Sus scrofa: one gene and its partners. The protein of the gene in region 5 purifies or fractionates together with the protein of the main gene of each other region. This does not show direct contact. Links are inferred from orthologs where the notes say so. Each region holds a gene or a part of one and is shown on either strand. Other genes may lie near its edges. The genes, in order: CBX5, CABIN1, ASF1A, UBN1 and H3F3A.

What was found.
Region 1: the proteins of H3F3A (region 5) and CBX5 purify together in Homo sapiens (affinity purification with mass spectrometry, with the first as the bait; 3 studies listed by BioGRID). This does not show direct contact. The link is inferred for Sus scrofa from reciprocal best matches to the Homo sapiens genes H3-3A and CBX5.
Region 2: the proteins of H3F3A (region 5) and CABIN1 purify together in Homo sapiens (affinity purification with western blotting, with the first as the bait; 3 studies listed by BioGRID). This does not show direct contact. The link is inferred for Sus scrofa from reciprocal best matches to the Homo sapiens genes H3-3A and CABIN1.
Region 3: the proteins of H3F3A (region 5) and ASF1A purify together in Homo sapiens (affinity purification with western blotting; 8 studies listed by BioGRID, with this or other methods). This does not show direct contact. The link is inferred for Sus scrofa from reciprocal best matches to the Homo sapiens genes H3-3A and ASF1A.
Region 4: the proteins of H3F3A (region 5) and UBN1 purify together in Homo sapiens (affinity purification with western blotting, with the first as the bait; 3 studies listed by BioGRID). This does not show direct contact. The link is inferred for Sus scrofa from reciprocal best matches to the Homo sapiens genes H3-3A and UBN1.

Annotation. Positions count from the first base shown.
Region 1 is NC_010447.5:19,452,761-19,458,179, forward strand, and holds part of CBX5 (chromobox protein homolog 5), read right to left. Parts: intron 3,828-5,419; coding exon 3,727-3,827; intron 1,797-3,726; coding exon 1,646-1,796; 3' UTR 1-1,645. UniProt on the Homo sapiens protein: Component of heterochromatin that recognizes and binds histone H3 tails methylated at 'Lys-9' (H3K9me), leading to epigenetic repression. In contrast, it is excluded from chromatin when 'Tyr-41' of histone H3 is phosphorylated (H3Y41ph).
Region 2 is NC_010456.5:49,784,367-49,790,548, forward strand, and holds the start of CABIN1 (calcineurin-binding protein cabin-1), read right to left. Parts: upstream 3,348-6,182; 5' UTR 3,244-3,347; intron 1,124-3,243; exon of another isoform or gene 1,011-1,123; intron 1-1,010. UniProt on the Homo sapiens protein: May be required for replication-independent chromatin assembly. May serve as a negative regulator of T-cell receptor (TCR) signaling via inhibition of calcineurin. Inhibition of activated calcineurin is dependent on both PKC and calcium signals.
Region 3 is NC_010443.5:43,204,291-43,209,709, forward strand, and holds part of ASF1A (histone chaperone ASF1A), read right to left. Parts: intron 3,988-5,419; coding exon 3,872-3,987; intron 1-3,871. UniProt on the Homo sapiens protein: Histone chaperone that facilitates histone deposition and histone exchange and removal during nucleosome assembly and disassembly.
Region 4 is NC_010445.4:37,551,620-37,557,698, forward strand, and holds the start of UBN1 (ubinuclein-1), read right to left. Parts: upstream 3,637-6,079; 5' UTR 2,902-3,636; intron 1-2,901. Other genes in the region: putative oxidoreductase GLYR1, read left to right, coding at 3,825-3,862, 4,902-4,938, 5,876-5,955. UniProt on the Homo sapiens protein: Acts as a novel regulator of senescence. Involved in the formation of senescence-associated heterochromatin foci (SAHF), which represses expression of proliferation-promoting genes. Binds to proliferation-promoting genes.
Region 5 is NC_010452.4:13,937,801-13,943,927, forward strand, and holds the start of H3F3A (histone H3.3), read left to right. Parts: upstream 1-2,137; 5' UTR 2,138-2,173; intron 2,174-3,718; 5' UTR 3,719-3,741; coding exon 3,742-3,869; intron 3,870-4,954; coding exon 4,955-5,108; intron 5,109-6,127. UniProt on the Homo sapiens protein: Variant histone H3 which replaces conventional H3 in a wide range of nucleosomes in active genes. Constitutes the predominant form of histone H3 in non-dividing cells and is incorporated into chromatin independently of DNA synthesis.

The DNA of each region.
Region 1 (5,419 bases), on a different chromosome or scaffold from region 5:
AATCTAGAAATGACTGAACACTCCTGGCCAGACAGCTGTATGTTTTAAAAATCAAAAGCAACCCAAAAAACCACCTCAATGGCTGGTGAACTCTAGAGTTAAGGCTATTTCAAGCATTTGTTCATATTTCCTCAGCTTTGGGCTGGGACAAGGATGCTCAAAACCCTGCTATTTCCTTATTACTTTTAGTCTTGATTCTCTAGCCCCCTTCAATTATGAGGAAAAAAAGGGTAAAGAGAAGTAGGGCATTTCTTGGGGAACAAAGGCAGAAGGAGATAATCAGAAAAATAATCTCTACATATAAGGGCAGAGCAGGAAGAAGCCAAAAGAGAACTATCTTGCCAAGAAGGGAGAGGTTGTGTCAACATGCTAATTAATGCCGGGGCCTGTCACTCTCCAAGGTGATAATTTCCATAGAAATGCACTGAAAAAATAAGATACCACTACGAGTTTAAAGGTGGAAAAAAAGTAAGAGCACTAATACTTTGGGGACTCTTGGTGGCAAATCCAAGAGTCAACAAAGCAGGAAACTTATGATTATAGACACTATGAATATTTAAAATTGATATGGTGGCCAATGGCTCCCCTCCAAGAATTCCCCACTGAAAATAATGGCATGGAGGAGAAACGTGGGTCCACTGAGAAGTGAGGGTCAGGTTTGAAGCCTCTTTGGTAACAGGAATGCTTTGGGAGGCCACAAAAGTTGGCAGGGTTGGAGGGTGCCTAGCACCTTGGCACAAGCAAGCACCAGGCAGTCACTCACACCTACATAAATACATAGCCCAAATGGGAGGGGTGAAAGGAAATAATACATATGTACCACATGTGATAATAAAGACAACTGTATCCTACCCCACCATCCTCATGTACTAATAGCTAAAAATCTCCACAGTTAATAATTTTGTCATTTTATGACAGACTACACCAACTTGCAGAAGCAGAATCAGGGACAGCTAAGAAACAAGGCCAAGAGTCCTGGGGCTAAAAGGAGTGCCTTGACAAATCTGAATGTAAAATTTCAAGTCCTCCAAAGGATGGAGCTATTCTGGAGGATGGGTGAGGATGAACAACAGAGGGTGGCCCAGAAGACCACACCAGAAACCCTGTATTCTCCTGGGTAGAGCTGAATGAGGTTGGGGGAAGCCCCAACAGGTAGGCAGTTGCTATTGGCTTTTTCAAAAGATGGGCAACATCATTTCCATCCCAACATCTCAAAACAAAGGCTAGCTGGTCATCAACGTGTTCTAAGAGCCAAAGCAAGAAACCAAAATTCTTCATCAATGTAACAAAATCCCCCATCTAAAAAGCAACCAACCCTGAAGATCAAAACTCTAAAGTGATTAAAAAGTTAAAACTCATCTTGAGGTCACAGGGGAGCAGAAGGAAGAGAGCAGGGCAAAGGAAAAAACTGTGGGAATTACACACAGTATGTAAATGCCTGGTCTTCACAGAGAGACACTTATCATGAATCAGACCATCAGTTATGTTACAAGAGAACCAATACCAACATTTCTCCTGTGGAGCACAGTGATAAGCACATTTTTTATGGATGTGTTTAGGATAGAAGGGGGTGGGTAGAAGGGAGAGGAGGCAGGAAGGTGAATGTATTATGTACAAAGAGAAATGACAGAGACCACCCCCTCCTTTAGCTCTTTGCTGTTTCTTTCTCTTTGTTTTCCGCATCCTCAGGATATGCATGCCACGTCAGTCTCTCTTCATAAAATGCTATCACAATTTGTGGACATTTAACATTAGCTTCTTTTGCAAGAACCAGGTCTGCTTCATCTGTGTCTTTCCTGGAGAGAAAGAATTATGAGATTTAGAATGAGAGGAAAGGTGAGAGAGTGTCCAAACACAGGTTTATGTCATTAAATTATGATTTAGCTGACTTGATTTCTTCTCCATCTTGACTTCAAAGGGAAAAGGATCCTAACAGTCCCACATTTTCAAGGAGAAATTTAAGTAAATGAATCGAGTTAGTAAACATCATTCGACTACCACATCAGAAGACTTAAGCTAGAATAGATGGGAAACCTAGCAGGCTTAACCAAAAGGCTGAAAATTAAACTACTATATAAATTCTGCTCCCATAATTTTTATGTGTGGGTATGAGCATGTGAGCAAAGACACAATCAAACCTACATTCAGCCCTATTGATTAAGCATAAATTGCTCAATCCACTTTTTGGATCATCTGGATCATTGAAAGGTCCTAACTCTCCTCATCATGTGGCCTTTTATTTATTTATTTTTTGGCTTTTGCTCTTTAGGGCCACACCCGAGGCATATGGAAGTTCCCAGGCTAGGGGTCCAATCGGAGCTACAGCTGCCAGCCTACGCCACAGCCACGGTATCCAGGCAATGCAGTACACGAGCCGCGTCTGTGACCTACACCATGGCTCACGGCAACACCGGATCCTCAACCCACTGAGCGAGGCCAGGGATCAAACCCTCAACCTCTTGGTTACTAGTCAGATTCGTTTCTGCCCAGCCAGTAGGGGAATTCCTGCGTGACCTTTTAAACACTCATCCTTTTGGTCAGAACTGTGGATTAGAACAGTAAGAAAGTAGAAATTTCGGTCAGCAACAGTCCTTATAAAACAGAGTGAGGACGAATGTAAAATCTAGTCACTAAAATAAAATGTAGGCATTAAATGCAAATTTCAATTACAATATGAAAAAGAAATCCAGTAAGTTCCTTAACCAGAAATCCAAATCAAGAAAGAAAAAATTTTTAAATTAAAATCCCACCGAGATGTGAGCAAAGACAGCTAACCTCTTTCCTAGGAAACAGAGATGCTGAATTCATAGAGGTAAGCATTATGGATGAGAAGGGGGGTGGGGAGGGAAACACATCGCTAAGAGCAGCTACCCAAATTTGGACTGTGGTGGAAAAAGCTAGTTAACATGTGAATGTAAATCATAAGTACCACATATGGCTGAGTGGGAAAAGCAGTCAATACAGCTCCTTATGCAGACAGAGTATAGTGATTCTTCAAATACAGACTTCTGGGTAATTTACCAACAAAATTTCGATCAGATAAAATATTAAACCTCTTGACTATACAACTTCTAAGGTAATTAGCTTCCTTAGTGGCACTGTAGCATGAACTCTCTATTTAGAGACCAAACTTAAATTACAAGCCCAGAACACTTGGAAATAGAGAGGTAGTGAGGGCCACACTATAAATCACTCTGTCTTTAAGAAACCAAATTGAGGGGAAGTAACTATACTTTCCTCTAAGATCCATTCCCTCTACCGGATGAAATAATTTGTGCTTTGGCCAGTATTATTCTTAATGCTTTTTGTTGAGATTACTCTTCTCTTTTAGACATTATTGAGTGGTCTTGGTCCTCAGTGATGGCAGAAAGCCTCACTCAATTCCTATTCCATGGCCACAGGCTCGTGGTCTGATGGTAAATGATTCACAACTGTGTAAATTAAATGGTTAGGTCATGTTTATATGTTTCCTACCTCAAATCTACACATTAGTATGTGTGCTAATATATTATAATTTGGCTTAATACTAAAGCTTTCAAATGTCTTAAATCCATTCTGAACTATAATTCCCATTTAATACTGACAGTTGGTATCAGCTAAAAATTTAGCTCCCTGACGATCAAAATTCTTAATCAAAATTACTCAGTCTTCTCTCCCTATCTTCCGTACAAATTCAAGTCACTGGCAAAGAAACACAATTGCAGAGTGAGGCCCAATCTCTCTCACCATTTCATTAGGAACATTAAATCGCCACAGGAATCTGTCGCCCCAATGATCTTTTCTGGTTCCAATCCTCTCTCAAAGCCCCGAGCGATATCATTGCTCTGCTATAAATAGAAGATGAAGAAAGGTTACAGCTTGGAGATAACAGTCAAAAAACCTTCCCGTTTCTCAGCTCAACAAAGCACAACCTAAGTTAATATCACTAGATATCACTTTTGTCACCAATTCATAAAATTCTTAGGATCTAAATACAATACTGCATCAGCCAGTGACAGAGATATTTCTACAGGAAGTTGCAGCTGTCCTTCCAGTATTCCTTCAAAGGATTTGGAGTGGCCCCTAAAACTATTTAATATCCTTTAAAATATTCTGGAGTCATCATATAGAAAATCCTCTATCCCCTCATTTAATCTTGTTATTATAAATGGACTACTGCTAAATTGTTCCTTCTGGGTTGATAAACAAGTCCACAGGGGTTACCTGAAAGAAACCCTTTTTCATTTTATAAACTTCAAATATAAAACCTCTTAATCTTTATTTTTTTAGACTTTTAGTTCACCTAACACTGACCAATATTTTTAATACTTCTTTTCCCAGAGTCATCTATGCTTATGGAAGAACAGAGATAAGGATAATTCAAGGCATTATCATAAAACAGAAAATTTCTTTTCAGAGCTCACATACTGTAACACCCACACATTTGGGGAAGAGGCCCTGGTCTATGTCTATCCCTTCCTGAAGGGGATAGATCAATTGCATTAGAGAGCAGAACTGGGGACTTTCCTGGTAGTCTAGTGGTTAGGACGCACGCTTTCACTGCTGCAGCCCAGGTTCAATCTCTGGTCTGGGAATTGAGATCCCACATTAAGCTGCTGCTTGCTGCAGCCAAAAAAAGCCCCCCGAAAAAAACAAAAATAAAAAAAGAGAGCAGAACTAGACTGATAATTCTGTAAGGAATTATTCAGACTTGGTCAAACGATAATCACGCAGTCCAGACAAGGAGCATTAGAGTCTGATTCAGGTGTGCTGCCACTTGTGAGAGCAAAATGGTGAAATTTTATACAAACCAGGTAATTAAAAAAAACCTTTTTATGGAAGATAATGCAAGCTTATTTAGTGTCAATACAAAAAAAGATTTAGAAAGACTGCCCAATTGAACTAAATCTCTGATATCTGATTTTCATAATAAAATCTCTTTGCTCTGATATTCGCCTTGCTTTCTTCTGAGATACAAAGCATTCAGCGTCCAGGTGGTCCCCAAAGATACCAGAATCCAACATTGGGAAGGAAATTCCACGCATGGATCAGGGGACATACAGACTTAAAAACATAGCCTCTTTTGGGGGTGCTTAAAAGGAGGAGGTTCCCAGATGTGCACACAGCTGCTCACAGCTGGAATGCTGGCGCACGAACTGAGTCGTAAATCATAGCTGGCGGCTGAAAACAGTTTGCCACATAGGGAGGGAAGGAAAGAAAAATGTTCGAGATGCTGAAAAGGAGCCGAGGCGAGGAAAATGCTAAAATCATCACACAGGCAGTAATCTTAAATCAGGCATAATGCCGACTAACAAATTTCTTCTGCAGTGGTCTAAAGAAAGAAACGCAATCCCCTCCTGCACCCTTAAAACACACAATCACCCATCTTCCCAGCTGCCTACCTGACAGCCGCCAGCACTGCTGAGAATGCTGTCAAGGG
Region 2 (6,182 bases), on a different chromosome or scaffold from region 5:
AGTAGCAGAGGAAGAAAAGTCCTTATGTCTAAAAATGTAGGAACCGGAGTTTCCTTCATGGCTCAGCAGTTAACAAACATGACCTGCATCCATGAAGACGAAAGTTCAATCCATGGCCTCGCTCAGTGGGTTAAGGATCCGGCGTTGTGGTGAGCTGTGGTGTAGGTCACAGACGTGGCTCAGATCTCCTCTTGCTATGACTGTGGTGTAGGCCAGCAGCTGCAGCTCCAATTCAACCCCTAGCCTGGGAACCTCCATATGCTGCAAGTGCAGACCTAAAAAGCAAAAAATAAAAATAAAAATAAATAAATTTTAAAAATATAAAAATAAAAATGTAAAAACCTCATATTAAACAACTTCCAGGGAAAAGGAAATGCAACTAAAATTCTAGACATTTAAAGAAATACAAACAATGAAAACACGTCACATACGTAAAAACACAGTGTACTCATCCGTGGGCGGAGGGAGAGGGGGCAATAGAAAGGATTATCTCCATAGAAAAGAAAGCCTATGACAAAATTCAACACCTATTCATGATATTAAAAAAAAAAAAAAAAAAGGCACCTCAAGAAAACCAGAATTTTCTGTATTCTATATATATATATATTTTTTTTTTTTGGCCAAACCAAGCCACAGCAGTGACAACACCAGATCCCCTAACCTGCTGTGCCACCAGGGAACTCCTGGAATTTTCTTAACAATGTTAAAACACACATACCTTAGTCTAAAGCCAAAATTTATTAAATGAAGTAACACCAGAAGGACTTCCTTTAATACCAGCAATAAAGGATGCCCACTGAAATGCCATTTCTCACCTAACACACTGGCAAAAACTAAAGCACAAAGGCACACTCTTGGTGGTAAGGTTGTGGGGAAACAGGCACTACTCTCAAACACCTTTGGTGGGAATGCAAATTGGTACAAGCCCCCCACAAAAAAAACAAACAAACTAGTATAGCCCCTCTGGAAAAGAGTATGATAACAGGCAACAAAATCACCAATGCACTTACCTTTCAAGCCAGCAATCCTAGGAATCTACCCTGAAGATGCATCTCCAACCATGTAAAAATACATATGCACAGGGTTCCAGCACTGTTTGCCATTGCAAGATCTTGAAAACCACCTAAATGGCCACAGATAGTCCAGGATATGAATAAATAAACTATGGCACCTCCATACAATGAAGTAACATTGCAGCTGCAAAATCCATGAGGGAATGTTCACAGCTACATTATTCATAATAACCAAAGAGAAGAAACAACCCAAATGGCCATCAACTAATTTCTGGATAAACAAAATGTGGTCCAGCCATACAATGGAATATCAATCAGCCATAAAATGGAATGAACTAATGAAAACACAGATGAACCACAAAAACATGATGCTGGGAGTTCCCACTGTGGCTCAGCAGGCTAAGAACCCAACGTAGTGTCCAAGAGGATGCAGGTTGGATCCCTGGCCTCAGTCAGCAGGTTAAAGATCTGGCATTGCCATGAGTTGCGGTCTAAATAGAAGACTCAGCTCAGATCTGCATTGCTGTGGCGTAGGCCGGCAGCTGAAGCTCTGATTCAACCCCTAGCCTGGGAACTTCCATATGCTGCCGGTTGGGCCCTAAAAAAGCAAAACAAACAAACAAACAAACGAAAAACTCAGCAAGGCCAAAAAGTTTAGAAGTTTAGTAAAGACTAAGTAACTGGTGGAGTGCTGTGGATGCTCCAGTTCTATCCCCAGCGGGGCGCAGTGGGTTAAAGGATCCCCCTTTGCTACAGCTGTGGCACAGGTCAAAGCTGTGGCTGTGATGCAACCCCTGGCCTGGGGAACTTCCATTATGCCACAGGTGGGACCATAAAATTTTAAAAAACCAAAAAGGCACATTCAGGACTTAAACCTCATGAGTTTCCAAAATCTTTATGGTACAGTTTTCATGGCCCTCAGAACACATGACAACAGCACACCCTGAGCACCTCACCCAGATCCAGTGATAAGGGGTGATGTTTCTTAGCAGGCTCTGGCCTGGGAATGGGGAAGCCTGGGCCGTGTGACTGACATGGCATCAGATGCCGGTCTCTAGGTCATTTCCCTCCACTGTATGAGGCTTTGGGCTAGACTTGGGATCCACAAGCTACCAAGCCCACAGTTTCTGTACAGCTCAAGAGCAAAGAATGGCTTTTTCTTTTTCTTTTTTTTTTAATGGCCATACCCATGGCATATGGAAGCTCCCAGGCCAGGGATTGAATCTGAGCCACAGCTGCAACCTACCTACCCTGCAGCTGCCGCAAAGCTCGATCTTTTTAACCCACTGCTGGGGATTGAACCCCTGCCTCAGAAGCAACCCAAGACGCTAGGGTGGGCAGCACAACCCACAGTACAATGGCAAGAACTCCCACTTTTTACATTTTTAAATGGTTGAAAAGTTCATGACACATGAAAATTACTGACAACATAAAATTGCAACTTCAGTGTCCCTAAATGAAATTTTCTTGAAACAACTTTACGAACTGTCGTTGGCTGTGTCCACAATACAGCAACAGAGCTAAGAAAACTATGCCCCCTCCTCATTATAAGCACAATTACACTCATTATTGTCACAAGGAATAGTATCATATAAACTACTCTATTTAGAACCGAAGTTTGCTGACCCCTGAACCAGACGTCTCTGAGGACACATGGGTCCTAACCACGGTTATGTACCACACAGAAAGAACCCCAGCCGCTTGGTCCGCATACACAGTAGGCCCTTCACCAAGGGGTGAAGGAACCCCTAAAGCCGCCTGTGCAGACACCTGCCGACGTCAGAAAGCTCCACCTGGCCTCCTCCGGGACGGCAGTGGGTCCAGGCTTTTAGTCTGGAGTCGGCTAGCCTGCCGGGAAGCTGGGGACTTGGGACAAGCGGCCGCACCACCTCTCGGCCTCAGTCCCCATCCCGCGAGGGGCGCCCACCTGGTGCCCGCCGCGCAGCGCCGCCGCGAAGGTTAAGTGGAAGGACACGCAGCAAGGGTGGGTGCGGGGCCCTGTTCCGCGACCGCAGACGGGACGGCTGAGTTGTTGAGACCCCCACAGCGTTCCTGAGACCCCCGCCCCAGGCCCCAAGCGGAGCGGGAGCCGCCAAGAGGTTCGCGCGGCAGTGGGGCCTGGCTCGGCCGCTCGGGCTCCCAGCCTGGGTTTTTCCGTGAGCAGCCCCCAGCCAGCCGCTCCTCAGCACCACACCTCCAAGCCTCACCCCAGCCCGGGGCCTCCCCAAACCTGCAGTACGCGAACTCACGAGTCGTCTCCACGGCAACAGGCCGTCCGCCGGACCCCCGCGCCCGTCGGAAGGACTGCGCGCCTGACAACAAGGAGCGCTCCCATTGGCTCGGGAGCCGGCTCCGCCAGCCAATCGGCGAGCCCGCACGCGCCTTCCCGAGAGCCAGCGCGCGGGGACCTTGAGGGCCTCTTGGCGGTAATCTGCAGCGCGGTTGGTGACACCTGCTAAGTAATCGGCAGCAGTGTTCCAACTGCGACAGGTGCTCGGAAGGTGGAAACCTGGGGACACTTGGAGGGGACCAAGGGAGTAACAATATTCTCATTCCTATGCCCGTGGCTCACCTTTTTCCGAAAAGGATTTGAAGCCTAAAAACCACAGATACAACGAACTATTGAAGCAGAGAGTACTGGGGGCGGGGAGCGGAGGGCGGGTAGTCTGTTGGGAGGTGAACGGGCGGGGGAGGGAACAACAGAATTTAAGAGCCTGGAAGAGGGTTTCTGACAACCGGCTGGGACTGAGATGTTACGCTCTTGGGAGCTAAGCATTTTAGGGAAGGGCTTCCCTGGTTCAGATTTATAGGTGCATGAGTCCAGGAAGTATGATTTAAATAAGAATGAATGTTAGGAGTTCCCTGGTGGCTCAGCGGTTTAAGAATCTGACCTTGTCTGGAGTTCCCGTCGTGGCGCAGTGGTTAACGAATCCGACTAGGAACCATGACGTTGCGGGTTCGATCCCTGCCCTTGCTCACTGGGTTAACGATCCGGCGTTGCCATGAGCTGTGGTGTAGGCTGCAGACGCGGCTCGAATCCCGCATTGCTGTGGCTCTGGCGTAGGCTGGCAGCTACAGCTCTGATTCGACCCCTAGCCTGGGAACCTCCATATGCCGCAGGAGCGGCCCAAGAAATGGCAAAAAGACAAAAAAAAAAAAAAAAAGAAGAAGAAGAAGAATCTGACCTTGTCACTGCTGTGGCTTGGGTTTAATCCCTGATCCAGAGAACTTCCACAAGCTGTGAGCCTGGCCAAAAAAAGAAGGATGAATCTTACGCCCTTTCTCTTTGACTTTGTTTAAAGACGGTAAAATCATGCTGAAGAACTCAATTCAGTACAGTAAAGCTTTAATGATATGCCAGGAGGTACAAAAATAATTGAGTCACCAAGCTTGATTTTGAAAGGAGTGTAACCTGGGCAGGGGTGGGGAGCTGTAAATAGAGAGTAAGCAGATGGTTTAGAAGTTTCATGAATGACTTGCAGCCTTGGACGCAGCTCCCACCCCCTGAAAGATGCTCTGAAGTAAAACAATTGAAAAAAAGATGCGGGAGTTCCCGTTGTGGTGCAGCGGAAACGAGTCCAACTAGGAACCATGAGGTTGTGGGTTCGATCCCTGGCCTTGCTCAGTGAGTTAAGGATCTGGCATTGCCGTGAGTTGAGGTATAGGTCACAGACACAGCTTGGGTCTTGGGTGGCTGTGGCTGTGGCGCCAACTGGACCCCTAGCCCGGGAACCTCCATATGCTGTGAGTGCAGCCCTAAAAAGAAAAAAAAAAAATTTAATTTAAAAAGAAAAAAAGAGATAAAGGTGGTCCAAGCAGCAGGAAGCTGTGTGGCAAGGGTTTAGAGTTAAGAGTGCAGGCCATGCAGGAACATCATGCAGTCTGGTGTTAAGCAGCAAAGCTCAGGAGCACAGTGGGGAGAGATACTGCCAAGCTGGTGGAGGGGCCAGTCACTACAGTGATGAAAGATTGAGGTGGGAAGACCAGACTGGCCCTGGCAAGGGTTAGGCCTGAATCCCTCCTTGGGCACTTCAACCATTCATTTACATTCAACCCACAAACATTCCCCATGTCCCTTTGAGAAGCGGGACATTCATGTTGGCAGGAAAAAGTGCAGAAACAGGAAGGGAAGCAAGGGGCAGGAACTTGGCATTGGTTAGGTACAAAGACCAGGCACAGGTGCATTCCTTTGGAAATGCACCTGGACTGCATAGACTAAAAATCTGTTTGGTATTTCATTGGTGCACAGGATGATGAAAGCTTTAACTGTGTAGGGAAACATAGTGCCCACAAATGTCTGAGATTTAAACTCAGCATCAAACATCTGGAAGAAAACTGATGGAATTTCCGTTGTGGTTCGTTGGAAACCAACTGGACTAGTATCCATGAGGGATGTGGGTTCATTCCTTGGCCCCACTTGGTTAAGGATCTGGCGTTATTGTGAGCTGCAGCATAGGTCGCAGATGCAGCTGAGATCCTGAGGTGCTATGGCTATGATATAGGCAGACAACTACAGCTCCAATTTGACCCCTAGTCTGGGAACTTCCATATGCAACAGATACAGCCCTAAAAAGACCAAAAAAAAAAAAACCAAACCTGCAAGGAAACTGAGGAGGCTTCTTTGAGGCTTCCCCCACCCCACCTGTATATCCTCTGAAATGCCAAAGCAGGATTTGGTCTTTAGATAAGGGGGTGGGATCTTACTCATTCTGTTTCTAAAGACAGCCATTTCCGGGTTTGCCATCCTGGGCCATGGATTTCACAGGGCACACAGTAACAGAATTATCAGCAAGATTTATGGGACATGGAGTTTGGCAGGGTCCTGGGAAGGTCCCTGAAGCCCAGCCCCACTGCTCCCCTCCCAGGCACAGCAGTCCATGGGCAGTGAACTGTCAATCCTGAGGATAGGAGTTCCCGTTGTGGCGTAGGGGAAACAAATCCGACTAGGAACTACGGGGTTGCAGGTTTGATCCCTGGCCTTGCTCAGTGGATTAACGATCCGGCATTGCCATGAGCTGTGGTGTAGGTCACAGATGCAGCTCGGCGTTGCTGTGGCTGTGGTGTAGGCTGGCAGCTGTAGCTCCAATTAGACCCCTAGCCTAGGAACCTCCATATGCCACAGGTGCAGGCCTAAAAAAAAAAAAAGACATTAAGAAAAAAAGACTGAGG
Region 3 (5,419 bases), on a different chromosome or scaffold from region 5:
AGGACACATTCTCACACCCACTCACCCAACCCTCACAGATATTCTCATAGTAAATTAATGTAAAACTGAAAATGGAATGGAAATAGTTACATAGTATAGCAGATTGTCAAAAAATACTAAATCACATATACTATGGAAATTCACTGATGGTAAAGTTTGTTTTAGGCAGAGGTAATCAATGATCCTGTTCTGAATCAAACTGCTGTAAGCTGAACTGTGACAAAGGCAGGAGGTGAGGCAAGTGAGCTAGAGGTGGCTGAGAGCATGAGCAGCACGGGGGCCCTGTCCATAGCCATGGGCAAGACAGTGAGGACACTGGTTGGAAGGAGGCACAGACGGGACAGGCAGTGACAGTGAGGCATCTGAGCACAACCCAAAGAGCCATTCTCAGTGGTAGGTGCTTGAAGCCCCAGCAGATCGGCTTACTCTTACTAGGGCACCAAAGCACATCCACGGGACAAGCCTGGGTAAAGACTTCAGCCAATGCCTTAGCTTGGGAAGGCTCCTGGCTGGCCTTCTCAGTCAAGCCATTTTCGTAACAGACTAGTGACTGCTATATACCTACTACATGTAGGGGACCTAAAAAGGCATAAATCATCTACCTAGTCACCTAGACTAAAAACGTCTAGTGAGTCTTGACATCTGTCATCTCAAAGCATAATCCAAGTCTTCATCTCTTATCTGGAATATTACCAAAGCTTCCCTACTGCTCTCCCCCAGCTCTAGCCAATTTATACAGCAGCCATCTAAACCCAGATCCATTCCTATCCCTTCACCAGGTTTTAAAACCTCAGATTCTGAGATAAAAATTTCACTTCTTTAACGCTTCTAAGGCCCTTTACAACTGGTCTCCAACCAATACCACACCCCTTTTACGCCACATCTCTTCTTCTAGAAATGTAGGTTCTTTAAAATGTAGTGATAGTCTTTCCTGTCTAGCATATACTGTTCCCTTGGCCTGAAAGGTCCTTTCCTAACATTCTGAAAAATTCATCTTCTGAAGCTTTCATCAAATATATGCCTCTCGGCAAAACCCTTTCTAATTCAAAGGTATAATTAATAGCACTCTTTATGCACTCATATTACTTGACACAAATTCTCTACTAATGTATGTCTAACAATCTAAATATGTTACCCTTCAATCTTCTCTGAGATTCTAGGCTTTATCCTGGGCAGGAGTCCTATCCAGTTCATCTTTGTAATCACAAGTCTGGCATAGCTCTAGGGACAGAGTATTTGTATTCTGAAATTCATTCAGAACTCAGTTCCTACCCTGACATGGTTTATGACCTCTGGAGAGATACCAGAATGGGGACAGAGGGCCTGTCCTGAGAATATGCTATCTGTCTTTGGGTAGAGATGGGAAATAGAGTTAGTTCAGTACGGTGGGAACTTTCCCCCCATATTGCTTCCCATCTGCTCAACAAACTCGTCCGAGGCTTGTTTGTGTTTTAAAATTTGTTTGCTAAAGGATGCAGCTTGAGCAAATTCAAGGAGAGAATTTGCAGACGTCTCAGATCATTTAGGATGGAGAAGTGATAAGCAGAGATTTTTCACTCCAACAAGCAATACTAGTTAGATGTCCAGGCACCTTCCTGCTAGCCTCTTTACACACTCAGGAGAAACGCATGTTCATCCTGAGAGTTAAAGTCATGGAAGAATAGGAGAATACTATGGTAGTTTGTTTAAAAACATGAAACAAAAACTATTTTAGTCCCTTTCTGCTGATAATGGTGAATTTTAAAAAATGCATAAGCTGAACATATGATCTAAATCACACACAACTTCCTCTGTACTTTTGGCAACATCTGCACAGATACCAAGGTAAAAAAAATCACTGGAAAATCACCAGAGGGAAATAATTTTGAATAATATTTTTCCTACAACACTCCAAGGCAAAAGCTGAGGAGTATCCTTAAACACATAGAAGAGATTCTTTAAGGGCTTTTTCAAAAACATGGCATTTATTTGCAACACTTCTAGCAGCATCAAAAGGTATATCACTACATCCCCAATTAAGTTTCTTACATCATGAATTACTACCTGTGAATTACAGGTTCTCCAGGCTTGTGGGTCAAAGCAAATACTACTTCTTTATATAACAATTTCAGGACGCTAAAAGGGAGTTCCTGTCATGGAATGAATCCAACTAGGAAATTTGAGGTTGCACGTTCAATCCCTGGCCTTGCTCAGTGGGTTAGGGATCTGGTGTTGCTGTGAGCTGTGGTGCAGGTTGCAGACGCAGCTTGGATCTGGCATTGCTGTGGCTCTGGCGTAGGCCGGCAACTGTAGCTCCAGTTAGACCCCTAGCCTGGGAACCTCCATATGCCACGGGTGTGGCCCTAAAAGGACAAAAAGACAAAAAAGACCAAAAAAAAAAAAAAAAAAAAGAAGCAGCAGCAGCTAAAAGAATTTAAAAAAACCTTGGTTCTAATTATCGAAATAGGGCACTGTCTATCAGTGATTATACTTATCTGCCGGGTTCCTCTTTTAATCCTCCGAACACTGTTATGAGGTAGGATGCTATTCACATTTTATAAATGAGTGGAGAGAACAAGGGAGGTTGGAGCCTGTCTAAAGTCACACATGGCTAACAAGCAGCAGAGTGAGATGTGACTCAGGTCTACGACTGCAGTGCTTCCCCCCACCCAACAGGCATCCTCTGATAACCCGTCCTTCACCAAGATTATTCACTCTCACAACTCAGGCTAACTATGCTTTTAGTTAATATATTGGAGCCTTTTAGTAATGTTTAAGCTTTTCTTAATCATTTATTTAGATTTAATAAAAAGCACTAAGGATGGGAGACCAAGGTTCTGAATTCTATATTGAGGAGATGGGAGGGAGGGGCAGCAGCTGTAATGATACCATATATTTGAGTGATTCTTAGCCCATAGCTGGTGGGATTATGTGATCAACAGTATTCATTTAAACAGATCTCACCTGTGAAGTGAGAAAAGTGAGAGGTCAAGGATAGAAAAGTTAGATTTTCTTTCTGTGAGTCTTCTCAGTGAGCTCTACTTTAACCGATAGAACTCTGTTGGGTAGAAATACTTGTAACAAAATTAAGTTTTTTAAAAAGCTATGGCTAGTTACTCTTTGGACTATTATAAATATCTCCTAATAAACAGGGATAATGGAGAAGTGACGGAATAGTTTTATACAACAATTTGCCATGGATTAAAAGAAGTAATATTTTTGAATACAGAAGACAATGTCTGAAGCCTTGGCACAGACCTAAATACTATCAGTGGCATCTGAGAACACAATTGTATTAGTAGAATTTCTCCTCATGAATGACAGAGTTGTGTATTTGTAACAGGAATTCTCTATAAGAGGTGTAGATTTGATGCTTTAGTAGACCACTGGACTTCATTTAGTTCCAATGACCCATGATCTCGTAGATCTCTCTCTTCTAACATACCTGTTAACCTAACTGAACTACTGATTATGCTGTAATAAACTGTTGTTTTGTTATTATTCCTAGTGACTGATACTATAATTTGAAAGTGTAAATTACTACCTATACTAGTTAGTAGTAAGCATTTGGAATCCCTGTTTGGGGCCGCTGGACAGCCACCCTCAAGGTAGATATTCCCAGGAAGAGCCCGAAATTAACCATCATGTGTGCCATGACACAGTGTAAGGTTTACTGCATGCTGTGCAAACCCTGAAGTAAACATGACAATAACATCTCTCGGCACACAAAATAAGGAGGTGGCATTCCTTATGACCTAGAGACTTCTTAAAACAATGACAGAAGCAGATAAAAAGTGAATGCAGCAGAGCCAGTGATTTAACCCAAAAGGAGAGGGTTAAGGACCATTTAGAAATGTATTTTAACTTACATATTTACCAAGAATAATCTTACCTGAAATACAAACATATGCCTTCCTGCAGGAACAGGGCCCACTAAAACAGAGTCTAAAACTTGATCGTATTCTTCACTTTCTGCAGAACCCACATAGATAATTTTCCATTCCAGGTCTAGGGTTAAAAACCAAAACATTATTTCATATTCAGTAATTACAAGATGACATCAAAGACCCTTTGAATGTCCACTTAACCATACATCAGCTGTTAAAATTGGCTTCTCATAGCAGAAAATCGAAAGACACTGAAGTGCTCCTTATAAAATGCTTACATTTCATACCAGAGTTTCTCAGAATGCTGTTTTATGAAACACTGGTCCCTGGTCTGGGCTCCTCAGGAACAAAACAACAATGACCAAAAATTTGGGAAATGCTGCCACCTTCTCTTGAGGATTCATCAAGCACAATGGCAGAGCAAGTGGTCTGAGAAACCCTTCAGTAAAGACCATTGGTAACATTAATACAGTATTTCCCAAATTTATTTGGCTAAGAAATCCCTCCCCCCGCCTTTCTGCATGTCATCTTTTAACAACCTGATAAACACACTTTGGAAGGGCTGCCCTATACTATGTTGCACAGATCTGACTCATCAAAGAGCTCCAAAGCAGAAAAATCATTAATTTGCAAACTTCTCTTGTGGCTCAGAAGCCCATTAGGGCTCCAGCTCATCAACTGGTAAAGATCCAGTCAGGTTTTTCCCTCATGGCACCTCTTCATGTCATTTGTTCTTTATTCTGGGAAGAAGAAACCAGGGATCATTATACCACTAGATACATCAGAGTATATACAGAGGGAATAGGCAGGAACAAGACAAAGTTAAGTGCAACTCAAGACATTCCACGTAATTCAGTCATTATGTTAATTCAGACTTTACTGAGCACCTTTTACATTGTGCTCTCGAGAAGGACCCAGGGATGAGTAAAATAACTGCTCTTTGGAAGGGGCCTCTTAGTAGGGAAAGGAAGATCACCCTACAGATACAAGTTATCTCTGAGACGTCTTGGTCCTCTTAGAGTGTCTGGCACTATCTGGCCTGCCTCTTGGATTCACTACACAGACTCTATACCAGCACTTCCATAGGGTTGTTTCTGGGTCACTTGTGGAGAATCTAGTCAGTGCCAGCACGTGTTATCATTTTTGTTCCCTAAATAGATGGTAAGAGTACATATTCACGCTGTATTATAAATTGCAATTTATTGAATTAGAAGATCCCTTCGGTTTAATACTTTCTCTTCTTATATCATGGTTCTGTCCCAGACCTAGACCACCGTTATCTCCAGCTTCCAGCACATTTCTAGATGCAGCGTTCTGCATCTGACATCTCATGCGATCATCTATTTGCTGATGAAGATTAAGAGTGGGAACAAGCAGTATGAATATCTAGTCAGAAGGAACAGCAAGTACAAAGGCCTGGTGGTAGGCCTGTGCTCGGCATGTTCCAGAGAAAGCAAGGCTGCCAGAGCAGGAGCAGAATGAGCAAAGGGGAAAATAAGTGACCATGAGATTGGTCAGATGGTGCAAGGTTTCGAAGGCCGTCATAAAGAATT
Region 4 (6,079 bases), on a different chromosome or scaffold from region 5:
ATGATAAAAATGATGATCTCGCCTGTTCAGTTATAGAGATTTCAATTAAAAAAACAAAAAAACCTTTCACTGTTAAGAAACAGCACTGTTAAATTCATCTTAATTACCACTTACTGTTTTCTGCTTACCTACTATTTACCTTAAATATAAAAATTTTTGGAGTTCCCAACGTGGCACAGCAGAAACGAATCTGACTAGGAACCGTGAGGTTGTGCGTTCGAACCCTGGCCTCACTCAGTGGGTTAAGGATCCGGCGTTGCCATGAGCTGTGGTGTAGGTCGAAGACATGGCTCGGATCTGGTGTTGCTGTGGCTCTGGTGTAGGCTGGCAGCTATAACTCCAATCAGACCTGGGAACCTCCATATGCTGCAGGTGCGGCCTTAGAAAAACAAATATGTATATATGTATATACACATAAGTTTTCATGTACATATAAAAGACATGCCATTTCACATCATTCAGAGATAATCACTGTTTAGTATGCTTCCTTGCAGTCTTTCTTCTACGTATCTTCACTAAGTTCTTGAAATTAGAGAAACCATGCTGACAGAGCCTTAGTAGGCTCTGTAGTCTTAGTAGCAGCTGTAGCTCTGATTCAACCCCTAGCCTGGGAACCTCCATATGCCACAAGTGCGGCCTTAAAAACACAAAAACAAAACAAAACAAAATTAAATGAATAAATAAATAAAAATGTAACCTCATCTAGGCCCAAATTTTAGATAGTGTAACTTCAATCCCCTAGATGATAAAAATGCTTCTACTGCTTGGGTAAGTGATTTTGCAGGCCTAAGAAATTACATAAATAAGATTAGAAAATAAAATAAATCAAACAATAGCATATCAACACTTACATTTTAGATTAAGTTCTAAGTCATTGTAGTAATTCATGTGAAACATTTAAGAGAATGAGACACATTCATGATTATTAGTTACAACTTTAACTTGAAATGCTTAAGGAAATGTAACTAAATTGAAAGTATGCTTTCAAAACACCTGACTTACATTTACATGAGTATTAGACGCCTAAGAGTTAAGACCTTGAAAAGATTTTACTTTTAGGTTTGTAAGCTCACGCTTTAGAAGTGTGATGTATCTGAGAGAAAGAACAACCATATAAAACTTTGAATTCAGGTTAGAACATCTGAGGGAGTTTATTTATTTATTTTTTTTGTCTTTTGAGGGCCACACCCGCGGCATATGGAGCTTCCCAGGCTAGGGGTCCAATTGGGAGCTGTTGCCTCCGGCCCACGCCAGAGACACAGCAACTCCAGATCTGAGCCGAGTCTTCGACCTACACCACAGTTCACGGCCACGCCAGATCCTTAACCCACTGAGTGAGGCCAGGGATCTAACCCGAAAACCTCATGATTGCTGGCTGGATTTGTTTCCGCTGTGCCATGACGGGAACTCCAGAATTTAATTTTTAAAAAGAGTTCACTGGGGGTATTCAATTTGTTAAACTGGTGCCTTAATTGAAAATTTGTCAAAAATCAAATATATTTTTACATAAGCATTTTTAGATCTGTAAAAATAAAATTGTCAACAAAGATTAAAAGGCTTTTAAAAGCTAAGCACTTAAGATACTCAATTTTTTTTTCTTTTAAAATGGCTGCACTCATGGCATATGGAAGCTCCCAGGCTAGGGAATGAATCTGAGCCACAGCTGTGATCTATGCCACATATGCAGCAACTAGGGATTCTTCAACCCACTGCATCTGGCCTCTGAAGCAACCAGAGCGGCTGCAGTCGGAGTCTTAATCCACTGCACCAGAGTAGGAACTCCTGGATACTCAATTGCAATGAGCTGAGCATTTTAATGAGTTGAACATTATTCTAAATAAAAGCACAGTATTCTACAAACAAAACCACCCCTCTTAAAAAACCTCAACAGATGCTAACCCCAAAATAACAACTTCGTTCTGTACCTCAGGTTATACTCAGGAGTATTTTTTTGTTGTTACATACCCTCTTAATATTTTCAAACTGATTATTGGTAAAAATGTAGAAAAACTAACTGAATTTTGCATGCTGACTTTGTAATTAGTCTCTTCAATGAACTCTTACTTAATGGATTTCCCTTGCACTTTTCAAAATAGGCTGTCGAGTAACATTCACAGAAGAAAAATTTTGTCTCCTACTTTCCGAAAAAATACGTTTTATTTTTGTTTCATGTCTTGTTGCATTGGCTAGAACTGCCAGAATGTTAGACAATATATTCTTTGCCATGTTCCTGACTGTAATGGGAATGTCTCTAGGTCCAATGTGATGTTGATTTAAGATCTGTGTATTTTATGAAGTCATTAACGTACCCTTCGATTCCTCAAAAATTAAGTTAGGAAGGTGTGTTGAATTTTAGTGTTCCCTCTTGGAAACTTAAATACGCTTTAAATCATAGATTTGTATTTAAAACAACACAAAATAGTTACCAGTAAATGACACTTCCTGAAACTAGCTGATGGTACTTCAGCGAAACTGAATTCCAAAGAGAAACCAGGCTTCGGACAAGTCAGTTCGCTAAAAACTTCCCGTTTACACCCAGTCTCTGTATAACACGACACCTATGAGAGATGCCCGTGGACCTGCCACTCTTTCATGCAGGCGGTGACTCAAGAAAAGTCCCGGGTAAGTTAACACTTGACTTAGACTCCCTGGGTTCTCAAACTGAGATTGGAACCTTTTTAAAATGTTTTACATTCTATCTGCGATGGTGATATTTAGGCAGACGCTGTGCTAAACTGCTTGTTATTCAAGATTCCCCATTCAATGGTTTAGTTTGAACATACTGAAACTACGCTTAGCGTCTGCCTTCCTGTTGTCAAAACAGCCTGTTTCCAACTTCCCTAAAAGTGTCAAACCACAACAAAGCTTACGTGAGAGCCCAGTTCCCACAAAGACACGTACCTTTGTCCCCGGCGCGACGCAGGCTACGGCCCCGCGGGCCGCACTCGTTCCCCCGTGGCCGTCCTCATGCCGGCCCGGGAGCCCGGGCTGCCGCGCTGCTAGCGGCCGGCCACCGAGCCATGCCTCCCGGCGGTCGGCCGGCCCGCGCCACGGCCCATGGCCCGGTCCCCGCGCGCCCGGGGGGCCTCGCCGGCCGTGCCGACGCGCCGGCCCAGGAGGAAGCAGAGAGACGCCGGCTCCACGTCGGCCGGGCAACTTGGGACTTCGGGACGGGCAGCACTGCGCCCCAGGAGAACGTGCGACGCGGACGCAGGATCGGAGCCTCTCCCTGGACGCCGGCCGTTAGAAAGAGCGCTCCAAAGGACCTGTCCACCCTCCGAAGGACCTGTCCGCCCTCCGGGCGCGGCCGCGAAGAGCCCGTCGGGCGCGAGGCCCCGGGCGCGGGCGGAGGCTGGCTTCCAGGCCGCGCCGAAGTCCGTCAGGGCAGCTGCCGGCTCGGAGACGCGGGCGGCCCCGGGCCCGCGCAGGACTAACGGCCGTAACGGAAGCGCCGAGGGGGAGGGGCTGAAGGCCAGGGCCCTGGGGCGGAGCGGGCCGCAGGACCTGCTCCCTAGCTCGGGGACTCGCTCGCTCCGCCGGCCGCACCGTCGCCGCCGCCTCAGACCGCTGCGCTACGTTGTCACGAGCCGGAGGGAGGGGGAAGAAGCCGGGAGTCTCCGGGCTCCGGCGCGCGGAGACCGCGGCGCCCGGGTCACGTGCCGCTAGGCCGGCCTATGAGCCTGGGCGGGCGCGGTGACGTCAGAGCAGCGGCGTGTCCGGTTACGGTCAGCCCCCGTCACGTGACCGGGCTCACTCCAATGGGCGGCACCGGGACGACCTGATGTTCCCGGCTGCCCGTGCGCCGGCGGTGGTTGGGTGGTAAGATGGCGACTGTGAGTCTGCGGCTCGGCGATTTGGTGTGGTGAGTCCAGGCGGCCCGGGCCGAGTGATGTGCGCTGGGGAGTTGCCTCCCTGTGCGTGGGGTTCGCAGCCCGCCCCGGGGCTGCCTTTCTCTTCGCTTCAGGTGGCGGAGAGTGGGCGAGGCGGGGTGCGGGCGCTGGGAGCGACGCCGGGCGGAAGGGGCAGCCTGGCCCGGGGGGACTGAGGCCGAGGGTGGCCGCGGCGGACCCGGCTTTGAGCTGTGGAGAGGGCTGCGCACAGGACCCGGACTCCAGCGGCCACCGTTTGGGGAGTGCCCAGCGCCGCGCGGCTCCCGCGGACGCCCGGTCCTCGCCTCGGGGTCTGGTTGGGGCTCCCGGGAAAGCGGGAGAGCCGGGGAGCCTGCGGAGCCATCGCGTCCCAGCCTGCCCGTCGAAACCCGCCTTGCGATGGCACCGACCGGTGCGGGCGGCTCAGCCGGGAGTGTCGAAACCGGGCTGCTGGCACTGTCCTGTGAAGAAACGGAGTGGGGACTTCTCCTTTACAACTGGAGGTTTGGCAGGGACCAGTTTCTCCTTGGGTGCTTCCCCTGGTCTGCTTCTGTGTCCCAGACAACCGCCCGAACCAAGACTTACTGTCGCCGCCTCCCTCCAGCTGAGCTGCGTAGCTCATTTCTCAGTCTAGAGGAAGGATTTCCATTAGCATTTGTCAAAGCCGGGTTGGGGGATGAAACCAGACTTTGTAAGGGGAAGTCTGTGTTTACACAGCAGACCGTCCCGCCACCCTCGTCACGTCCCGGGGAGGTTCTGGACAAACGACTCTTGGTAGTTTTGTTTTTCTGTATCCCTTGTCACCGGAAGAATGCACACAAGTTTACAGTTTTGCATTGCATTTCTGAGGGGTTTGGGCCTCTTGGGCCCAGCTGTGGATGCCACAATAAGAACTTCTGGTTCCCAGCTTTTTCTATTCTGGCACTTGAGCGTCGAAGGGGAGATTTAGGAAAATAAATTGCATGTTGAGTGGGTTGAAGGAGACGGACTGGCCTTTCCAGGGCAAATGCTGACTCTTTGTGTTTTCTCTAGGGGGAAACTCGGCCGGTATCCTCCTTGGCCGGGAAAGGTGAGTGACTGGCGGACATCTGAAGTTGAGTTTGAGGAGGTGGAGAGTATAAGATGCAGTCCCTTGAATTCCTAACATTGAGTTTAACTGGGCCTATTTAAATAACATTGGAGAATTTTTTTTTCCTCCACTGTCAGTTTTTTTAGAAAAGGCAGTGTAATTTAAACCACGTCATTAAATCTACAGTATGTTATTGTTTCTTGAATCAGAGGTGGTTTGTGGAAAAGTCTTTTCATCCTGAAAATCCTTTCTAACTTGAATTTAGCTTTGCACATAAATCTAATAAATGGAGAAGAAAACAAATTTTCCAGTAAGAAAAATCTAAATGTAGGCTAGTGAAAAGTCAAAGTATTTTTGTCCCACTGAGTTTAAATCTTCTTTGCATTTTACCATATGTGCTGCTCCAGTGCATTGCAGAAGCTGGCATTCCACGTTTTGCACGAAGTGATCCTTCATAGCTTTCCAACCGATCTGTTTTTATATTCTTGTTTGGAGCCTAGGAAATGTCTTCAGACTCTTTGCAGTATGGCATTTTCAGTGTCTCGGTGTTGTCACTGTTACTTCATTGTCACTGTTGACCTGTCTGAACTCTTCCTGCACAGAGGTATTTTTAAGAGTGTTTTCTGCGTTTCTTCCATAATGACAGGGTCACATTACAGGAGGTAATGATGTTGGTCTGCTTTTAAAACAGGGCCGTTTTAGTAAAAGGGATATTGTATCTACTGAACACTGTGTTACATGACAGACACAGGGAACTTCTAGAATATTTGCACATTTCCACGTCTCAGTAGAAGAGTGCCAGATTTGGACATAAAATAGGCCCTGTGTTTGGTTTTGTTTTTTTAAGATGTATTTCTTTTGTGTTTTGTTTTTTCTTTCCCTTACCAACTTATAACTGTGGGGAAAAAAATTTGTTTTTCCCCCTTTTATTCCCTAGATTGTTAACCCACCCAAGGACTTAAAGAAACCACGTGGAAAGAAATGCTTCTTTGTAAAGTTTTTTGGAACAGAAGATCAGTGAGTAGTGCTCACCAAGAATTTCGCTTTCCCTTTGCTGTTTGGGCTTTGCCCCAGGTTGAAGCTGGTTGATTCTCGGGATCCTTGTTTAGTCTCATTGTAGTCCACAGAATGGCCATCATTC
Region 5 (6,127 bases):
AGACAATCGTGGATACTGTGTTGCTGTGGCTGTGGCATAGGCCAGCAGCTGCAGCTCCAAGTTGACCCCTAGCCTGGGCACTTCCATATTGCTAGGGTGCAGCCCTAAGAAGCAAACAAAACAAAACAAAACAAAACAAAAAATAAAACTTCACACAGATAAAAATATTTCCTCCATTTTACAGATGGTTCAGACAATCCAAGATCAGAACTATTTTACCTAAAATAGTCTTTCCTGTCCTTAGAAGTATTTTTTAAGCCAAAAAATAGAAGCTATGGAAAAATCTAGCATATAAAGAGAACATTACCCATGCTATTTAAAATTTCTTGATGTAGGATTAATTCAATTGATATGGAACAGCCTTCCTGGAAAACTCTTGGAAAAAAACAACAGATATTTTAGTTCCCTCAAAACAAAACAAAAAACAGGCAAAAATAAATAAATAAATACAACCACATTTTCTTGGCTGGAATTACAAGAACTCTTCACTGGCAGCTCAGCCTAGGGTTTTCTGCACATATGCTTTTAGGATAGGCTTGCAGAGTGCATGTGTTCTGTACAGCAACCACAGACACTTAACATTCATTAAATAATAATGAAACAGAAGGCCTGGATTTTGTTTGTTTCTCCTGGGTCTGTTCCTCACTTAAGTGACCTTGGACAAATCTATTTTTTCATATGTGATTTCCATATATCCGTTTTTAGGATAATGTTTATGATTACAATGCTTTATAAGATCTTCAAACTGCGGAAAAGTAGTTAATGCCCTCCATCTATGAAATTTATCTTTCACTATCCTATGGGATGTCAGCATGACACTTCTATTGAAAACCTTCACACATAGTTGCAAAGTGTTGTCAATACCAACTAGGGACCGTGCAGATATTCTGAGTCCAATGAACTAACAACATGGATAACTTGAAACGGTAAGTCTGTTTCCTACGCTACTGAGAATGGAAAAATATAATCATCCCCAAACCACGTTTTCCTTATTTCTGCCGGTTTTCTACCGCATGTAAACTATGCAGAAGCCGCTGACAATGTTTGATTTGGCAATTCTACCTAACATTTCATCGTTAAAAGGCCCAACAGGCTAGTAGGACACTCGGCCAGAACCGGAGTCAGGCCCTGGTGCAGTTAGCTGTGTATTCCATACATTGTTTTAGAGGCTTACAAAATACAGCCATCTTGCATCAGGCATCCCGGCCCAGGAAGGAGGCGAGCCCCGTCCCCTCCGAGATGCTACCTGCGAAGAGTCGGGCGTCCTAGGTGGCAGAGCCCGTGCGCGCAGCCCGCAGCCCGCACCGCGGGGCCCGCCTCCGTCCCCGGGCCAGTGTCTTGAGTGAATAAAGTTGTCTGAGGGCGAGCCAGCGGCACCTGGCCCGAAGCGAGGGCACGAAGACGGCCGGCCCACAGCCCTGCCAGCCGCTAGAGCCGCCCCCTCCGAAAGTGGGCGCAAGACGGGAGGCTTCTATTTGCAAGCTTCCTTTTGGGTAGTGTTTTCAACTGGGCCGCGGCGACCCGGCCCGCCGTGGCCTCCTCCCCGCCCCCACGCCGCCCGGGGTGCCTCGGGGACGCGCGCCGGGGCCCGCGCCGGAGCGGGGCGCCCCCTCCTTCGCCCTCCCCGCTGCGGCCCGAGACGCCCGCAGGTCGGGCGTTCACCCGCCGAGCCTCGGCCGGCCCGCCCCACCCCCTCACTTCCCCTCGGCGCCCCAAACCCGGGCTTCCAGAGTTCGATGACGTGTGCGCACGGAGCGGGGTGGGAGTGCGGAGCAGGGGAGCGGGAGTCAAAACTGGGGCGGGCGGGCAGCCGTCTCGGCGGGAGCGACGGCCCTTCGGCGTGTCTTTTGTGTTTGTACACACACGGCGCGAGGCTGCCGGGAGGAGGGAGCGGGCGGCGCGCGGGGGAGGGGCGAGCGCGCGCCAGCGAACGGGAGCGCGGGGGGAGGGGCGGGGGCGGGGCGCGAGCAAGGGGCGGGGGGCGGGGCCGAGCCTTCCCTCCATTGTGTGTGATTGGTTGGCGCGCGGCGCGGGGGCGGGGCGGCGTGTGTTGGGGGATAGCCTCGGTGTCAGCCATCTTTCAATTGTGTTCGCAGCCGCCGCCGCGCCGCCGTCGCTCGCCAACGCCAGCGCCGCCTCTAGCTCGCCGAGCTCCAGCCGAAGGAGAAGGGGGGTAAGTTTCCCCGTTTGCCCGCTTCCCCGGAACCGAGCCCCGCTTGCCGTCAGCCCCGGGCCGGGCCCCGGCGGTGCGGAAGGGGGGCCCCACGGTCCCTCCTGCTTGGCCCACAAACTTTTTGGCCCAGAAATGGAGAGGAGCGAGTTTCCCTCTCCCCTCAGGCGGCGGCGGCTCCGGCGGCTCCCCCGTCTCTCGCCGCCTCAGCCCAACAGCAGCAACCGCCGCGTCGCCGAGCCTGCTCTCCCTCCTCCCCGCGCCCCTGGCTCCTCTTTCTTCGGTGAAATCCCGCCCGGCGCCCCTTCCCGGGACCCCAGACCTTCACCATGACCCGCGCGGGCCTCTTAACTACAGCCCCCGGGCCCCGGCCCCCAGTTTTCGGGCGGGAAAAGGGTGGAAATTGCCGCTGCTTCCCACCCTGGGGTAACTCGCTTTTTGCTGCCTCCCCACAGTTGTTGCTAAGCTTCACCATCTTGTCTCTCTTCTCTGGTCACCGACCATATTTTTTCCCCCGTTTCTCTCTTCCCCATTTCAAAAAAGGAGGACAATTTTTAAAAGAGAAACATGTTTTTCTCCTTTTTTAGAGAAGCGGAAACTTGATGCATTTGAAATGCAAAAAAAAAAAACTTTTGCATTTTGGAGGGCGGCACGTGGCAGGGGATCGGGGTATTTTCAAGCGTTTTGGTGTTTTGTCTCTTTGGTAGGGAATCGGATACGTTTTGCGATTGTTTCCATTTTGTTCGGGTCTGGGAGCTCAGTTTGGCTGCGCGAGACGCTGGGAGCGAGACGGGCAGGCTGGGGGACCCTGTGCCGAGGGGCCGGTGGAGGCGAAACCAAAAGTTTATGTCGTGCTTGGGGTGGACCGGTCGGTCGCTCTCGTGCGTTAATTAAAGCCTGGGTGCGGGGCACTTGTTTTTATTTCATTGCGAAGCCTCGGAGGACTGGACGGCGAGGACGGGGCTTTGTAGAATGCTCGCTTGGTGGTAGCTGTTGTTCCCCTCTTGTTTTTGGAGACGCCTTTTTGTCAACAGAACTGTAGAGATGCAAAATCAGGAATGTTTTCTGATATTTACAGCAGTCTATCAACTGCCAGACGTAAAGGGGGGGGCAGCGCGGGGGGGGCTAAAACCTTTTTTGCTGTAATTTGACGCGACCTTTCTGTGGTTTGTGGCTTCATTATTTTGACTTATTCGTTGATCGGATGTTTACAGACATTTCTAATTTCTACTTTAATTAAAGAAATTGAAGCGAAGGCAGATAGGGGTCTTTTTGTTTTGCCATTTATCGCTCAGATTTAGCATTTTGAGAGGTGACTGGTGTTAATGCTAACAATTTTCTAGTACTACAGTTTGTTTCAAGAAGTCATATTTGGGTGGTAGGCGTAATCTGCACCCTTTCAAATTATGTAACATTACGGACATTTTTAAATACTGAGCCAAATTTTCAGATTGGGGGGGCGCGGTGGCAGTGGCAGGAAAACTTGTATGTTTGGTGGTTGCATGTGGTGATTTTTTTTTTTTTTTTTTTTTTTTTTGATGCTGGTAGGTAAGTAAGGAGGTCTCTATACCATGGCTCGTACAAAGCAGACCGCCCGCAAATCGACTGGTGGTAAAGCACCGAGGAAGCAACTGGCTACAAAAGCCGCTCGCAAGAGTGCGCCCTCTACTGGAGGGGTGAAGAAACCTCATCGTTACAGGTATTAAAAAGACGGGAAAAAAATGGGGCAAAGTGTATCTTCCGAAGTAATAGCTATACAATCTAATAAAAAGATGTATAATAAGCATCCTTTTTGCCTTAGGGAAACTGGTATTTTTTTCCCCTTTTGGTTATTTACTAAATTTTATATTTGGTGTTGGGTTTTATTAAGGACCATGTTTAATTTCGAAGCTGTAATCTTAGCTTAAGGGAGATGTTGCATCAGTAATATCGTTAATGCTATGGAGTAAAATTTTATTTAGCTGACACATTAGAAGTTTTTTAAATAATAAAGTATTGTTTTTTAAATACCCTTTTGAGGATGCTCTTGATTGTTGTCAAAATAATTTTATCACGATTGGGAGAATTTTTAGTCCTTCATTTACTTAAATTGGGTTATTTCCGTCTATTAAAACATTAGTTTTGAACTACCCTGAGCAGTGTTGTTAAGGGCATCTGCCATTAGAGGGCAGAAGTTATCCGTATTTAGGTGCCCTCTGTGAATGATTTTACAGTTAACCTAAAGTAAAAGCTGGTACAGTGGAAGAAATAAGTCAGAATTGAGGTAATTTTCTGGCTGAAAATCAGTTAAAAAAAGAAAAAACTTCTATATGGAAGACACCTCACACAGTCAAGAGTATTCAGATTTAATCATTGATGAGTGATGGTCCTAGTCAAACTAAAGGTGTTCTGGGAAACCAAACTTAATGTAAGTGTATTTTTAAATGAAGCTCATTGGGTTGTGTTGGTAGGACTTTTAGAAGAATTGAGGGTGCTGATATGATAATTATTACAGAAGTTAGTTAAGTATATATGAAAGATGAAGAAAATAAAGGGGATTTTGATTAAACTCCCTGCCAGGAATCTACATTAATACCATGCTTTTTGCTCTAAAGGTATTGTGGTGTTACTCTTAATAGACTTGAATATTCAGGTCATAAATTGATAAGTGAAATTTGATACCAAACCTGAAGAATAGTTAGGTGATTTTTTGGGGGGGGGGAGCGACAGCATCGCTTCAAAGCTGATCACTCTTATGTCTTTATGTATTTGGTAACCATTTCTTTAATGTGTTTTGCTTTAAAGGCCTGGTACCGTGGCACTCCGTGAAATTAGACGTTATCAGAAGTCCACTGAACTTCTGATTCGCAAGCTTCCCTTCCAGCGTCTGGTGCGGGAAATTGCTCAGGACTTCAAAACAGATCTGCGCTTCCAGAGTGCAGCTATTGGTGCTTTGCAGGTAAAATGGTGGGTGGGAAAGGCTCTAAAGAGTTGGCGGTACTGCTTTGTACCAAGAACAGTTCTAAATCTTTGCATATGCCTGTGCAATTTAATCACCACAAACTGATGAGGTACGTGATAACTATTTCACTGTTGAGGTGTCAGAAAGGTTAAGTTGCTCAAGGACATACTTACAGATATGTAGTTTTAGACTTTGAGACACTGAGATGTTTAAAGGGAAAAAAAGCCCTCTAGTTCAGCTGACTTGCTGCAGGACATTAAGAAGTCATGGGGCTAAAGGTCTGTATTGGTGATTAGATTCAAACAGTGACAATTTTTTAGGGAAGTTAGAATAAATGGCTTCCAGCACCTGAAGAGGTGATTGCAAATACAGAAATATGTGGGGTGAGAATTGGCAGTATTAAGTGTGCATTGAGGTAAAAGAAGCATGAGTGGTAGTTAGGATTGGATTGACAATAGGGAGGAAAAGATAGGCTTGTAAAAGAGAAATTCGAAGACTTGTTTGCTGAAAGGGATTATGTATGGATTTCTACTTAAATGGCAAACAGTGAATTTACTCTTAGCTCCAGTGTGTCAGAACTTTGAGAAATACTGTTTTAGCTGTGGTTATATATTTGAAATATTGATGGTTTATGCTACAATTAAAACTTGAAATGCCTACAAGTAAGATTTGATTAGTTATATAGATATAATTAACATCAATCACTTAAGGAACCTATTACTATTATGTTAATGTGTTTGGCATTAGTTAGATCATTGTAACTCAAAGTGTGGTAAGACTACCACCTCCATCAGAGCATGGGGTTGGAGGTGATTAAAAATGCGTGGAATGTTAGGCACCACCACAGACCTGAATCTGGAATCTCTTGGGGGAGGGTCCAGAATCTACATAGATTCCATTGGAGGATTTTTCAGGGCTGCTGTTGCCAAGCTTTTCCTTTATGTGTGAGGAAGATTTGATAGGTGGATTCTACCCTGAAGTGTAATTGGTTGAGCTGTTTCTATGGTTAGTCTGAA